Linked DNA regions of Diceros bicornis minor. The protein of the gene in region 2 purifies or fractionates together with the protein of the main gene of each other region. This does not show direct contact. Links are inferred from orthologs where the notes say so. Each region holds a gene or a part of one and is shown on either strand. Other genes may lie near its edges.

Region 1 (7,456 bases), on a different chromosome or scaffold from region 2:
AAGAAGGCAGTGAAAAAGAGTATATCCTTTGTTGACTTTATAAACATTGTTATATAATGATGTCTCAAATCTTAAAATACCACTACTATGATGTGCTGGTACAAATTTCAAAAGGTGGGTAAACTTCATTTTTACTTTTCTTTTAAAACTAATTTTATGGGTTTGTTTCTCAAATTTAGGCCTCTCTAAGCCTCAACTTTCCCTGAAGTTTGACCCAAACATCTCTCACTGCCTTCTTCAATGCTATAACATCAACTTTACATTTATTTGTTCACTCAGTAAAAAATCATTTACTGAGCTACTCCAATTTGATGGCACTGTGATAGGGACAAATGCAAAGATGATACAGTCCATGCCCTCATTAAGAGACTCCCCAGACTTCCTTGGATTTGTCGTTCCACAGTCATTCAGGCAAAAATCTTAGCATCAGCTTTAATTTCATTCTCATTTATCTAAAACCCAATCTTTTCATGGCTACTACCCTAATTCAGAAACTCTTCACTTTGTCATCACTCCCATCTAATATTTATTACACAACATTTACTAAGCACAGTACTAAGGGCCATACATGCATTATCTCATTTAATTTTCAAAATAATCCTAAAGGACAGGATAATAGGATAATCCATTTTACAGACGAAGAAACTGAGGCTTATAGAGATTAAGTAATTTACCCATGGTTACAGAGTCAGTAAGAGACAAAATTAAGTCTAACACTAGAGCCCATGTTTTTAAACACTACCATATTGCATCCTCATCAATGATTTGCAGTAATCACTTTCCAGTCTCCATTCTCTCAGGATTTTTCCATCCAATGAATCCTTTGCCCTACAATATCCTTTCTAAAGAACTTTATCTCTTACTAACTAAAGTATGCACTACTTGTCTCCTTAGCTTTCTCCCTAGAGTGGAAGGGTGGGGGGGCTGTCTTATCTTCTTTTGTACTCCAACAAAATAACAGGCACTTAGTAAGTGCTAAATATTTGCCAATGATGCTAACTCTCTCCCAAACATTTTTAAGATTTTTAATTTATTGTGGTAAGAATACTTAACATGAGATCCACTCTCTTAACAAACTTTTAAGTGTACAATACAGTACTGTTAACTATAGGTACAATGTTACACAGCTTATCTCTAGAACTTATTCATCTTGCTTAACAGAAACTTTCTCCCAAACATTTTTAACAGCTCATTGCTACCTATAAAATAAATCCAAACAACTATGTTTGGCATTCATACACCTATTTTTTATTTTCTATTTCTCAACACAAATCCTGTTCTACACACAAATTATTAAATTTTAACATTTTCTTCCACATCCACCACCAACAACTTACTTAAATATGGAATTTTTCTTTATTTTTGGAAATCTTATCCTGACTGGTCTCACAGTTTAACCTGTTGTTAAAATATATAAACCACTGCTCTGATTCCTAAGGGCTTTCTTTCCTAACAAGATCCATAAAACAAGTGCGCAAAGAGATTAAATTAGTGTTGTGGCTGAGAGTAAAGAAGAAGTTGACCTAGATAAAGTTTATCTCCAATTCAAAGAGTCTAAAATATGAATGATTTTATGATATAAGAATGGGTAAAATCATCCAGAGCTGGAAAACTGTTTTTTTTCTTTTGCATCCTTGAATTTGTCTGCAGGGTGAAAAGGTGTGTGTCATGGGATGACAAGATTATCAGTAAGCTGGTGCTTCCAAAAGACATGATGGTTCTCACAGCAAGTGCCAGTTTACTTATTCATTTGACAAATTCTTGAGAAATAGAAATGAAATAGTTACATATTATATATTGGAGAAAGACTTTAAATAATCACACAAGTAAATATATAATTACAAGTTCTGAAAAATGACATAAAGTTCAGGGCATGATGAAAGATTATAACAGGGTAGAGGGGGTAGAGGTTAGAGAGCATCAAGAGAAGGCTTCTCTGAGGAAGTATCACTTAAGCTGAAAATTAAAGAATGAGTTAATTGGGGGATGGCTGTGCTGGAACAATCTAGGCAAACAGAACAGCATGTGCAAAGGCCCTGTGATGGAAAATAACTCGGTGTGACAAAGGAAACTAAAAGCAGTGAGGCTGGAGTTTAGTGAGGAAGAGGAGGATGGTGCAAGATGAAGCTAGTGAAGCAGGAAAGAATCAAGTTACACAGAATCTTCTAGACCATAGTAAGGATTCTGAATTTTACCCTAGATGTAATAAATACCTAGTGATAGGAAATCCAATGAAAGGTTTTAAGCAGAGAAATGACATGTTACTGCTGAATGGAGAAGTGATGTGGTTTGTTTGGGTTTGGGGAAGAGAGTGAAAAGAGTAAGAATGGAAGAAAACAGGGCAACCAGAGAGGAGAGTATTGACCTGACTCAGCCTATAACAACAATTACAATTACAATTACTGCTTACTGGCTATTTACTGTGTGCCATGTGCTTACCATGGCTATCTCATTTAATCCTCATAACAATGCAATAAGGTGATTATTATTCCCATTTTACAGATGAGAATACAGGGAACCAGTGACATCAAGTCCAGGTAAAACAGGATTGTGGCTTGAACTAGAAAGGTAATACTGAAGATGCACAGAAATAGATCCAAGACATATATCGGAAATAGAATAAACAGAACTTGAAGAAGGTATGGATACATGGGATGAGGGAGAAGTCACGAATGGTTTCCAAGTTTCTAGCCTATGTAAGTGGATAAATGGACAAACTGGGATACTGGAGGAGAAAGAATTTGGGTATGGAAAGATTAAGACTTTGGTTTTACACTTGTTATATTTGAAATTCCTAAGAAAAAATCAAGTTGAGATGTCAAGCAGACAGGTGGGTATTTTGATCTTGAGCTGAAAACAAAAGGAACAAGCTGGAAATAAAAATTCTTAAGTCATCAATATACAGATGGAATTTAAAGCTTAGGGTGGAAGGGAAGAGTAAAAGGAGAACAGGGCCTCGGACAGAAGCTAGATAGTCCTTTTTTCCCCATCAAACGTCTCTTGCTATGGTCATCGGTTACTTGGATGTCATCGGGCTTTTCAGTCCCCTTCAACTTTACCTTTCAGCAGAATTCAACACTATTGATGACTTCTTTTGTCTCTTTCACCCCTCTACCCAGTTATTAACTGCCAAGAATCCCTCAGTGCTCCATCCATCCTAGGTCCCCTTCTTTTTTAGAACTATACTCTTTTTAGGCAATTTCATCCACATCCACAGCTTCAACTACTATCAACACAGCGATAAGATGTATACATTTATCTATCTATCCAACCCAGAACTCTGCTGAGCTCAGACCCAGTACATCCAACCGCCTACTTGACATCGTCTTAGATATCTCTTCCAGTTAGAGACCTGTCAGATACTGCCACCCCAAAAAAGGCGTTTACACAAAGCCCAAATTTTGAAAGGATGACCACAAAACCACTACAGGCCAACTTTCCAGAACAGGATTTTGTCATCAGTTATCGTTTCCTTTCGTGGACCGTGACCTAAAATAGGTAAACCTGACAACCTGATGGCTAGAGATGGGGAGCAACCAAAGGCAGGACAAAAAACACCCTTCGTGCCTTTTAGCGAGAGATGGTTAGGTGAGGAAAGAAGGGAAAGAACGGTCAAGAGAGTGAAAGAGTATCACGTCCAAGGCCTGATGGACGTGCGGCAACGGAAGTCACCTGAAGACACAGCAGGCCTCGCTAAGGGGCGAGTGGCGGACGACGACAGCCCCCCGCGAGCAGGCGCCGGGTTCGGTTTGCGGAGGGAGCGAGGGACAGCAGAGACCAGGTCCAAGGAGAGAGAAATCCCGGGGGAAGACCCAAGCGGAGTACCTGTGAGGCCAGGGGAGCGTCGAGGGGCTGGGGGCGGGCTGAGCGGCACCGGGCGAACTCTGGAGGAGTGAACGCCGAGTGGGCGGACCGCACGGGGCGGGGGGGGTCTTGGGGAAAACGGCTCAGTTGAGAAGCTCGCCGGGCCCGCCTTACCTGTGCCTGCGAGTCCGGAGCCCCGGACAGGCCCGCCGGAAGCACGGAGTCCGCGCGGAGGGGGAGGAGCCCGGGGTAACGAAGGAATGGACACCGGGCACCAAGGAGTGGGGCCGCTCGCTCCCTCCCAGTCAGGGAGAGCGGCTGATGGCGGGAACTGTGACCACACGCAAACACGCACGCACGCACGCACGCACACTCGACGCGACCACACGGGGCGCGTGCGCGCAAGCCTGCAAACTCCGCCCCTCCCACGCCCTCGCCCCGCCCCAGCACCTAGCGTAGTCTCGCCGAGGCAGCCCCGCCCCTGCCCTGATGTAGTACGCATGCGCACTTTCCACTTCGCTGCCTTGGGGCCTCCCACCGTTTCCCTCATGCTCAGCCCAGTCGGGCATGCGCACTACTTGCCCTCCTGGGACTGCCTGGCTTTTCCCGCCCTTCACTGGCCTCCGGAGGAGGGTCAGAGTTCACGTCCCTCTCTTGGGATACCAGCTCGAAGCTGGGGGATGCGAGGACTAGTGGGTGGCGGACGTCCTTCCGGTCCTGAATCTTAAGGGGCAAAGGACACACGCTGGGACTATTAACTCAGCCGAGAGCTAGGAGGCGGGAAGAGGTTGTGTGGGCGGGGTCAAGGGTGAAAGGTCAGAGGGCTGCGAAGGGGGCGGAGCGAGCCGGAGGCGGATGGCGGCTGCGGCGGCTCATCGTCTTTGGCGGCAGAGGCGCTGAAGCGGGGACGCGGGTCGGGCGCGTCCGGCAGTGGGAGGAGAGCGGCGGCCGCTCCCAACATGCACAGCCTGGCGACGGCTGCGGTGAGTGGCCGGGCCGCCCGGCCTCGGCCCAGAACCCCTCCTCGGCCCTGCTTTCCGGCCTTCTCTCCTCGCTCCCTGCGTCGGGCTCGGAGTCGGGCTCCTCCTGCCCTCCTTGCGCGAGGCCCCGGCCCCTCGTTGCCGCGCTGGGCTGCGTGGGACCCGGCCCCCACGTTCCTCACCGGCCGGCGCTCGCGGCCTCTGGCGCCGCGTATCGCCTTCTCTCCCGGCCCGGGGCCTGGTCCGGCGCCCGGAGCGCCTTTTCGCGGCCCGGACAGGCCATTCATTGATTCACTACGCTGACCGACAGTTTCGGCCTGCCGGTTTCGTGCTGGGCGTGGGCAGGGATGAGGGGAATGCCGTGGTCCCTCTGCCACGGCCGCGCTCGGGACGCACTGCCTAGGCGCATCGCAGCGGGAAAGAAATGGCTACTAGCTCAGACCGCTTGCGTTATAGATGGAAAAGCTGAGACCCGGAGAAGTGAATAATTATTACGTCTGACTTATGGTTCTACTGCGCTTACAACCTTTTTTCACACGTCTCATTTTACCAGCGCGATCTTTTATCAAGAAAAACGGATCGTGTAACTCACCTGTTTAAAGTCATCTTATGGCTTCTCTTTGCATGTAGATAAAATCCAGACTCCTTGCCATGGCCTACAAGGCGCTGCTTGTAGGATGTGGTCCTTACCCATGTTTAGTCTCATGTCATTTGCTCCGTAGGCTCTGGCTACAGGGACCGCCGTGCCATCCCTTCTGCCTGCACTTTTGCATTCCAGGGTGCACTTTCTGATCTCTATTTCTGGAATGCTCTTCTTACTCTCCCCGCCCCCCCCTTACTTACTTACACACAGACACACACAGCATGTGGATGTAACTGGCTCCTCTTCCCTCAAGTCTCAGCCTAAAAATCTCCCTAGAGTGGCCTTCCTCGACCACCCTATTTAAAGTAGTTTTGTAACCCCCAGCTTTTCTCTGTTAGAGTACTGTTTACAGCATTGATCCCAGTTTGTAATTTTTGTATTCTTTTATCTGTCTGTTGTCTGTCTCCCTCTTGATCCACGGGGATCATGTGGGTCCTGTTTATATGGTTACCCCAGTGCCAGGACAGTTCCTGGCACAAAGGAGGGGCTCAAATACTTTGCTGAATGAAGGGGTATAGATGAGGGAGGTCACTCCTGAGAGCACATAGCTGTAATGGGAAAACACGATCATATGATTTGAGGATACTCTTCTGAATGCTCATCCTAATTTTTCTGTTTTACTAAGGTGATGTGACTTAAGGAGAGAGTAGTATACTGAAATTGCATTACCAGGGAAAAGGACATACTAAATAGAAGACCAAAAAATTGCCTTAACTTTAAATATATAAAGTGAAAAAGAGAGCTGAGCATGACTAGGTTATAGAAAGCATTGTCATTTCCCAGGCCTGTGGCATCTCTGTGTCCTATCACCATGTTTCTAAGTGTTTGTAACTCTTCAAAGTGGAGAGGTACTTTTTATATCTCTCAATTAGGTAATTGCAATTTCCCCAGCTTTTTTATTTCTTCTAAGTAATACATGTAATTTGAGAAGAAGCAAGTCAGAAGATATGGTTGCTGCTCCTAGGGGAGTGGCAGGTTAAACAAAGGATTCTTCTAAGGTTGGCTTGTCCATCTTTCAAAATCTGATTGTCTTCTCCAGACTTTGATATCAAGCTGCTCCTTTCCCTCTGCCTCCGCAATCTCTCTACCTAGTCAATTCCCTTTATTTTCAATTGCTCCCTAATGCATCTTTGGAACAGCCGTTAAAGCTGTGGTTCATTACTTATAAGAAGTACTGGATACATGTTTTCTTCAATTAAATTTACAATGCTTTACATTTATTTAAAGTTTGAGCTTTTAGATATGCTGTTTGGACCACACAGAAACTCTGACAAGTTGCTTTGCACCACTTATTTACTAGAATATCTGGTTAGTGAGGAGACTGAAGCATAGAGAAGTTGAGCGACCTCTTTCCCAATCCTTCACGCCTTCCATTAGACGAAACTGTCTGTGTTATTCTGATCTGGGTAAAGGAACTGTAATGGTGTATATCACTCACAAGAAATTGAGAAGAGTTAATAATACATGCAGCAGTGCCTGCAATAATCTAAGCCACTTGAGAAAATGCTCACTTTCTGCCTAATGATGAAAATTTTTGTTTGTGTATACCTTTATCTCTTTTTAAGAATAACATCACTTCAGCTAGGGAGATAGTCTATCAAAGGACAACGTGATCACATGTGAATGCAGGATGTATTCACTAGAGGGAGGAAGTTTCTTAAATTTTGACTCCTGAGTAGTAGTTTATTACGCTAGAAATGTATAATATAGTAGACTCTTGTCATTCTTTACAGAATACATCCTAACATCATCATTGTTGCCACCATAGAATATAATTTCGTTCTCACATCTATTAAATAGGGACAGAGACACCACACAGGATTATTCTAAAAATTAAATAAGAATAACAAAGTGCTCAGTGGTTGGCTAGGTTCACTCATTGGTTAAATGACTTGCTCCCAGACTTCAGCCGTGGGATGCTAACTCCTGCCTCAGCAAAATAACAAATCACTTTGTTGTGGACCTTGGAGGTTGCTTCAGATTAACAGAGCTGCAAATCTTCACGTACCGTGGGTCTTCTGTAATGAAT
Region 2 (7,368 bases):
TAATCCTCAGCACCTCTGAGTTCAGTACTATCACCATCCTCGCTGATACACATGAGAAAACGGAGCCTCAGAGAGGCGAGGCCCTTTGCAGAATCCGCAGCAAGTAAAGAAAGCAGCGGGGGCAAGGCCAAGGTTACACAATAAGTGAGAAAGCCAGACTTGACCTCAGGAATATAAGCCCATGATGCTGTGCTGATGGAGAAATGGAGCCTCAAAGAGGTCAAGTGTGCCTGTGATCACAAAGTGGCAGGTCGACCCGGCCTCCCCACACACGGCTAAGAGACGAGTGCAATTCAATCTTCCCTAATATCAGACTATTACTCTCATCACCAGCTGAAAACCAAGCCTCATCTTGAAACAAGAGGAGAAAGACAACTTGGGCTCTTCAAGGGCAGTCAATAAATGCTGAATACGTTCCTGTCCCCTCCCCCCAGGCCCCCAACACAAGTCGACGGAGTAAAGGGAAACAGGCTTTGCTGCTAATCCTCCAGGTTACCATTTCTCACTGGAACACAGACAGGAACAGAACAAGAGATGACTGAGCTAGCGGCTCCACAGTGCCACAGCAGCTCTCTGAGGTGGAGCGGAGGGGACAGGCACTGAGAAAAGGTCAGCAGGAAGGAGAAAGCAGGCCCTCTCTAGCCCCATTTCAAAGCTCTCCCTCAAGCCCTGGAGTACTGCGGTAATGGGGGATGAGGAATGCTGTCTTAAGAAGCATGAGGCAGGAAAAACAGAAGACCGGGAGCAGGTAGGTCAGCTGGCTCTCTTGAGGGAGGGAGAGGAGAATAAGGCAGGATGCTTGAGGAAGAACACTAACATTGCTTCAGGCAGAGAAGTCCGGAAGGGGAATACCACATCTAAGGTCAGAGGGTGTCTGCAGAATTGCTGGAAATCCTAGGTTGAGGGTCCAGGCCAAACTACCAGAAGAGGCTAAAGGGAAAGAAAGCCCAAGCAGAGTCCCACAAGGTTTAAACCAAAGGTCATGGTTTGGACCCACCCGTTTTTTATTGTATGTCAGTCACCACAGCCACAGGAACCTGTAGCCAGAGTTAATCAACAACCAAGGTGGGAAGGGAAGGTGGGGTTCATCCTAGACAGGAGCACATTAAGGGGAGCCTGGATTTCCATCTTATATCCAACTGGCTTAACTTGAGAAATGTAGTTTATACTGACCTTAAGAATCTTCCTCCCAAAGCCTTCAGACCCTCTCCTCACCAACACACACACACACACACACACACACACTGAGCGAGAGACACAGAGGGAGAGAGAGAGAGAAATTCACCGCTCAGTTTCCCTCCTCAGTAACTTATCACCTTATCTCCAGCAAGTCAGGTCTCCTAGCCCAACACTGCACCAAACAAACTATGACCTGAATGCCAAGAAAAACTGTGTCACCTAGAGAAACCCAATTAACGACATGACTCTGCTCTCTTCAATTCCCCTCCAGTCATATCCGGGGCACCTGAGTGACTGACCGCCTTTTCCCACTACTGGCCATGTTCTCTGTCTAACTCAAAAGCCAGAAGACAATTTAAACAGGGGCCTCCAGAGAAGCTAACCTAGAGATGGGAAATCCTGCTCTCCCCACACCTTGGCCTGTTGAGAAAGCCGGAAGGACATAGGACAAAAACACCACCTGGGTGATTGGAGTGTTCACCTTGAAATCTCTAAGATGCCCCTCAGCCAGAGCTCCTTGCTGAAGAAAAACACATAAATGCTGCTGAAAGCTCCCAAACGGGGGCGTGCAAGTGCCCCAGGGGGGACAATAAAAAGGTGTTTCAAAGAAATTCCTGCTGCGATTGTTTCCTTCTATCCCTTTTCTAATTAACCCCTCTCTTGAGAGATCTCCATTACCTCCCCCTCCCTCCAGCAAACATACAAAATACTCACTGCTTTTCCCAACCTCCTGATGGACTAAATGCAGCGTGCGTTTTGTGTATGTGCATGCGTATAAACATCCTCTTCCCAGCCCAGGCTAGTTTCCGAAGAGAATCCATGCTTCCCCTCCTCCCCCAGTGCACTTGTCTTTCCTCCCAGCCCCACACTGCTGCAGAGTTGGTAATGCAATATTCAGGGACCCTGAGACCGGAAATGCCTGGTTCTGGACTGCTGCACTTGAAACACGAGAAAAGGGATGGGGTGAGCAGAACATGGGGGTGAGGGCGACAGTAGGAGGTGTGGGGTAGAGAGGGGAGGCTGAAATTCCGACCAGGCAAGAGAAGCAATTCAGGGGTGGGCGAGGAGAAAGGGTGATGAGGGGAAGGCTGTCAAGATAGCTGAAAAGTCAAAATTCGAGGAACCGAGACAGAGGAGGGCGAGGAAGACGATATAACTAAGGGCAAGGGTGGAAAGAGGCCCAAGAGGAGGTGAGGGGCACCACAATAAAGATTCTGCAGGTGATGGGGGCCTAAGTTTAGGGGAACCAGGGATGATCCTCAAACACCTTGGAGGAAGCGGGTCCGGAACCTGAGTAAAGGTGGAGGTGGCCGGGAAGTGTGGGGGCGGGGCACCACAGGGTGGGGACCGAACTGGCTCCCAGAATCTGCAGCGAGTGGAGGGGGGGAGCAGGGGCGGGGGCCCAGCAGCCGTGGGCGCCCGGGAAAGGGGCGGGGGTTGCCGAGGGGGACGGGGCTGACGGAAGGGGCGCCCGGGGAGCACGTGAGGCGTGCGGCCACCCCGCTCCCCTGCGGCGGGGACTGGAACCAGGGCGAGGCTGGGGGGCTGCGCGCTCACCCGCAGGGCGGACAGGTCGATGTCGTCCAGGCTGCGGGCGGGGGCTGGGTCGCCCATGGCCTCCGCGGGGAACGGGGCCCCGGGGCCGCTCACGCTCCGGCTGGGTTATTCCGCTGCCGCCGTCGCCGCTTCTCCCCCATCGGGGTATCCCGGGGGCGGACTCCACCGTGCCTCCCCCGGAGAACGGGGAGGGGGAGGGCCGGGGAGAGGACCGACCCACAGACTGACAGGCGCTCTTGCCCCGGAGCCTGCAACCCGAGCTCCCGACTGTCCTGCGCAGGCGCGGAGTGGCCGTGCACCGGGAGGGTGGAAGAAGGAACGTGACGCGAGCGCGCCGGGTTCCCCCTCCCCCTCGGCGCCGACACCTGCGCGCAGGCGCAAGAGAGAGCGCGAAAGGCGCGCGCGAACGAGCCTGGCGTGAAAGAAGTGGGCGGCGGCCGAGGTGGCCGCGGAGCGCGCCCACCAGCTGGCGCGCGTGCGCACACGCGTTTCCTTCCCGTCGCCTATTTTTTGCCCTCTCTCTCCCCCATTTCCTTCTTAGCTCTCTTTTGACGCCTTCCTTCCCTTTCCCTCCTCTTTCGTCTGCCCAGCTGCCAATCAAGCCACCCACCTCTCTATTTGCGGGGGAAGGGGGCGGGACCCAACCCCCTCTATTGCTAGGGGGGTTGTTATGGTAACTCCCCACGCGAGGGCTGGGTGGCCTCTAGATAGGATGGGCTGTCCACCCACCTAATTGCCATGGCAACAGTGGAGCCACTGAGGGAGGGGCCTCTCCGTGAGAACTTGGCTGTAGAAACCACTTGGGATTTGGGGAGTGGAGAGGGGGGACTGGCTGCCTCAGGAATGCCCTTTACCCCCTTCTCTGGCTGGAGTGGGGAGTGTTGAGGAGGGCCTCTCAGATCTCAGGATAGGAAATCCTCCCGCAGACTTGTATCTGTGCACCTCTTGTTCTGCACAAAGGAACTGTTTCAACAATTATTCATTGACTGATCACGAGCTGCGCGTGGGGAAAGGGGTGGCAGGGAGAGGCGGAGGGGAAGAGGAGGAATCTATGTCCAACCCCTTCAAATCTTGCTTGGGTCACCTTAGGTCTAGTCATGTTGGCATAGCACCCCCAGCCACTAGCCTCACTAGAGGTTGAGTAATGCTATGTAAAGAACAAGGAGTCATGTTCTACCACTGACATGCTGTGTGACCTTGAGCAAGTTGCTTTGCTTCTCTGGGCTTTTCTTTCACTGTGAGGTTGAGAGAGAAGGCTGTTTGATCCCTGAGATCACTTTCAGCAACAGTACTATCTCTGAAAGACCCCACCACCAGCCTTAAAGGTCACTTAGGAGAGTTTGAATGAGATGTCTGGACCCTTCTCCTTAGCACTTTCACATGCACATCCAGTTTTGCTTCCCTCCCTTCCTATTTATCTTGCCATTGACCTTATCCAAGCCACAGTCCCCACTCACCTCCATTCCTCTTATCAGCCTCCTGCTTGGTCTCCCTGCCCGGCTCTCTTAAATCAATTCGCCATTCCCAGAGTGATTTTTCTAAAACTCAAATCTGATGTCACTCTCCTGTTTAAGACCCTTCACTGACTTCCCACTGTCTTTTGAGTAGAGTCTCAAGTGTGGCATCAAAGACCTTCAAGATTCTGCCTGCTTCTCCTGCCTTGTTTTTCAGTACTCCACCATTCAACCTCACATGTTCTAGCCATGCTGAAATCCTCTCCTCACAGTGCCCAGAACTCAACAGATCCTCCTCCAGCCTATGCACTTGCTGTTTCTTTTCCTTGGAATATTCTGACCATGCCCACTCTCACTGCCCTTTGCTTTGTACTACATGTCTAAATCATCTCCTCCATGAAGTCTTCCTTGACCCAATCTTCCTTGACTAAGATTGAGTTTGCCTCTTCTGTTTTAGCTGCCTGGCTTAAACCCATGGTAACATTTAACACTTGAATTGTAATGTCTGTCGCATCTCCTTAAAGGCAGGAATTATGTCACTCTTATTCAGCACAGGGCCTAGAACCCACTAGAGGTTCAGTAACACCTAAGTGAATGAAGGCCTCTGTTGTCTGAGTAGGCAGTGTGACATATAGTAATTCAAGGTCAAGACCATGGTATAATAGGAAGAAAACATAGAATTTGAAGTTAGTGCTTTGGGCAAGTCATTAATCTCTCTGAGGCTCAATTTTATCATCTGTAAAACAGAAATAATAACAGGGAGGTTAGGGTAAAATAAAATTAGGTATGTAAAGCACTTGGCATATCCTAGGTCTTCAATAAATTTACTAATGCCTGACTCATAGGCAGTGTTTAATAAAGAGATATTGAATTAATGAATAAGCAAATTAAGATCACAGGGTTAGGATAAATGACCACCCAAACCTCAAGAGGCAGTGTAATTTGGGGGGTGGGGAGGGTAGAGAAACAAGATTGGCTTCATGCTAGTAATTATTCAAGCTGGAGTACCGATGCATGGATACATGAGGGTTCATTATCCTATTCTATTTTTATATACAGTAGTCCCCTCTTACCTGCGGGGGATACATTCCAAGACCCCCAGTGGATGCCTGAAACCACAGATAGTACTGAACCCTATATATACTATGTTTTTTCCTAAACATACATACCTATAATAAAGTTTAATTTATAAATTAGGCACAGTAAGAGATGAACAATAACTAATAATAAAAGAGAACAACTATAACAATATACTGTAGTAAAAGTTATGTGTAGTCTCTCTCTCTTTCAGTCCAAACCTATTCCTGAATCTGTAACCATGCCTCACTTGCAGTGAATGGCTTGATGTCACTCATTTCAAGGGATCCCATGCTAAAATCTTCGTGTAGGCCCAGTGCTTTCTAGTGCAACATGTTGCCATCAATAGGAACACGTTTTCTGTTCGTGTCTTCCACCCACAAATGTAATGCCTTTTCCAACTTAACTAAGCACTTATCATGCACTGTGGCCATAATTTTTGCAGTTTGAGCAAAACTAGCATGAATTTCTTTTTCTTTCTCACAATTTCACAGATAAAAGATTCGTTCTTACTGTAGCATACCATCAGAAACCTCAGCATGTGATTTTTTTTTTCTTATTGAGTCGAGAACTTTTACCTTTTCCCTTAAAGGAAGCAGTTTATGGCTTCTCTTTGCCATATCCCAGTTGCCAGCATCACTATTCTTGTGCTTTGGGGCCATTATTAAGTAAAATAAGGGCTACTTGAACACAGACACTGATACCATGACAGCCGATCTGATAACTGAGATGGCTACTAAGTGACTAATGGGTGGGTAGCGTGTACAGCGTGGATGTGCTGGACAAAGGGCTGATTCACGTCCAGGGCTGGACAGAGTGTGACAGTGTGAGATTTCATCATGCTACTCAGAACGGTGTGCAATTTAAAACTTATGAATTATTTCTGGAATATTCCATTTAATATATTTTTTGTGTGTGTGAGGAAGATTGGCCCTGAGCTAACATCCATGCCCATCTTCCTCCATTTTGTATATGGGATGCCTCCACAGCATGGTTTGATGAGCTGTGCATAGATCTGTGGCGGGATCCAAACCTGCAAACCCCGGGCCGCCAAAGCGGAGAGCAAACTCAACCACTACACCACCGGGCCGGCCTCCTCCATTTAATATTTTTGGGCTGCAGTTGACTGTGGGTAACTGAAACCACGGAAAGTGAAACCACGGATAAAGGGGGACTACTGTAAATATGAAATTGTCCATAATAAAAACTTAAAGAGAGATAATATGGTGGAGAAAGTCCTGGATCAAGCATCAAGAAAAGTTAAAATATTAAAAATAAGACAAATTTGAGGACCCCTAGGGGATGAATGCACATTTTGCACAGGCCCAGTCGCCCTCACCCACCTTAGCAGGCTGGATTCACTTTCTTCATCCTGGGTCTTGAGCTAACTCTTCTGATTCCAAGCCCATGGCTTTTCCCCCTGCACTATGGTGGCCTCCATTCAAGAAACTCCAGGACTAATGAGGGGGGGGTGGGGGCAGACAGACTAACAGACAGCGTGAAGCAGAAACCCACTCTGCCCCTAGCCCAGCCTGGGGCAGCTGCTGCCTCCACTCCACTCCTTGCTTAATGAGGTAACGGTCCCCTAGGGAAAGAGGCACGTAGTGCTGACGAGGAGGCTAATTAGCAGAATGCCAATTAGTACCAGGGGACTGCTATATGTGGGAGGGGGGATCTCTTGTGTGAAAGTGGCTTCTTCAGAGGAGCAGAGGGCTGGATTCAAAGGAGAGGATCAGGGCAAGACACCAGCATCCCCTCTCCACGTCATCATCCGCTACACACCCCTCTTACAGGAAGGCTTCCTAAACTCCTCACTCTACTCCCCTGTTTCTTCCTGCTCCTGTGGTCAATTCTGAGACCGGAGAGGGAGGCTGGGGGGATGAAGGGCAAGAGCCAGGACCTGTGCTAAACTTTTTTCTAATTGCAAAATATTTCAGATCTACAAAAAGATACGAATATATATATGTTCATATACCCACCGCTCAGCTTAAGAAATACGTCACCAGTTCACTTGAAGAGCTCTGTCTACCCCTCTGTTATCCCTTTCCCTCCACTCACCCTGAGAGGTAACCCTCCTCAATCCGGTGTGTGCTATACACTC

What was found.
Region 1: the proteins of MINK1 (region 2) and CNOT9 purify together in Homo sapiens (affinity purification with mass spectrometry; 3 studies listed by BioGRID and IntAct, with this or other methods). This does not show direct contact. The link is inferred for Diceros bicornis minor from reciprocal best matches to the Homo sapiens genes MINK1 and CNOT9.

What each region holds. Positions count from the first base shown.
Region 1 is NC_080776.1:8,937,556-8,945,011, forward strand, and holds the start of CNOT9 (CCR4-NOT transcription complex subunit 9), read left to right. Parts: upstream 1-4,421; 5' UTR 4,422-4,763; coding exon 4,764-4,787; intron 4,788-7,456. UniProt on the Homo sapiens protein: Component of the CCR4-NOT complex which is one of the major cellular mRNA deadenylases and is linked to various cellular processes including bulk mRNA degradation, miRNA-mediated repression, translational repression during translational initiation and general transcription regulation.
Region 2 is NC_080757.1:11,609,164-11,616,531, reverse strand, and holds the start of MINK1 (misshapen-like kinase 1), read right to left. Parts: upstream 3,031-7,368; 5' UTR 2,794-3,030; coding exon 2,737-2,793; intron 1-2,736. UniProt on the Homo sapiens protein: Serine/threonine kinase which acts as a negative regulator of Ras-related Rap2-mediated signal transduction to control neuronal structure and AMPA receptor trafficking.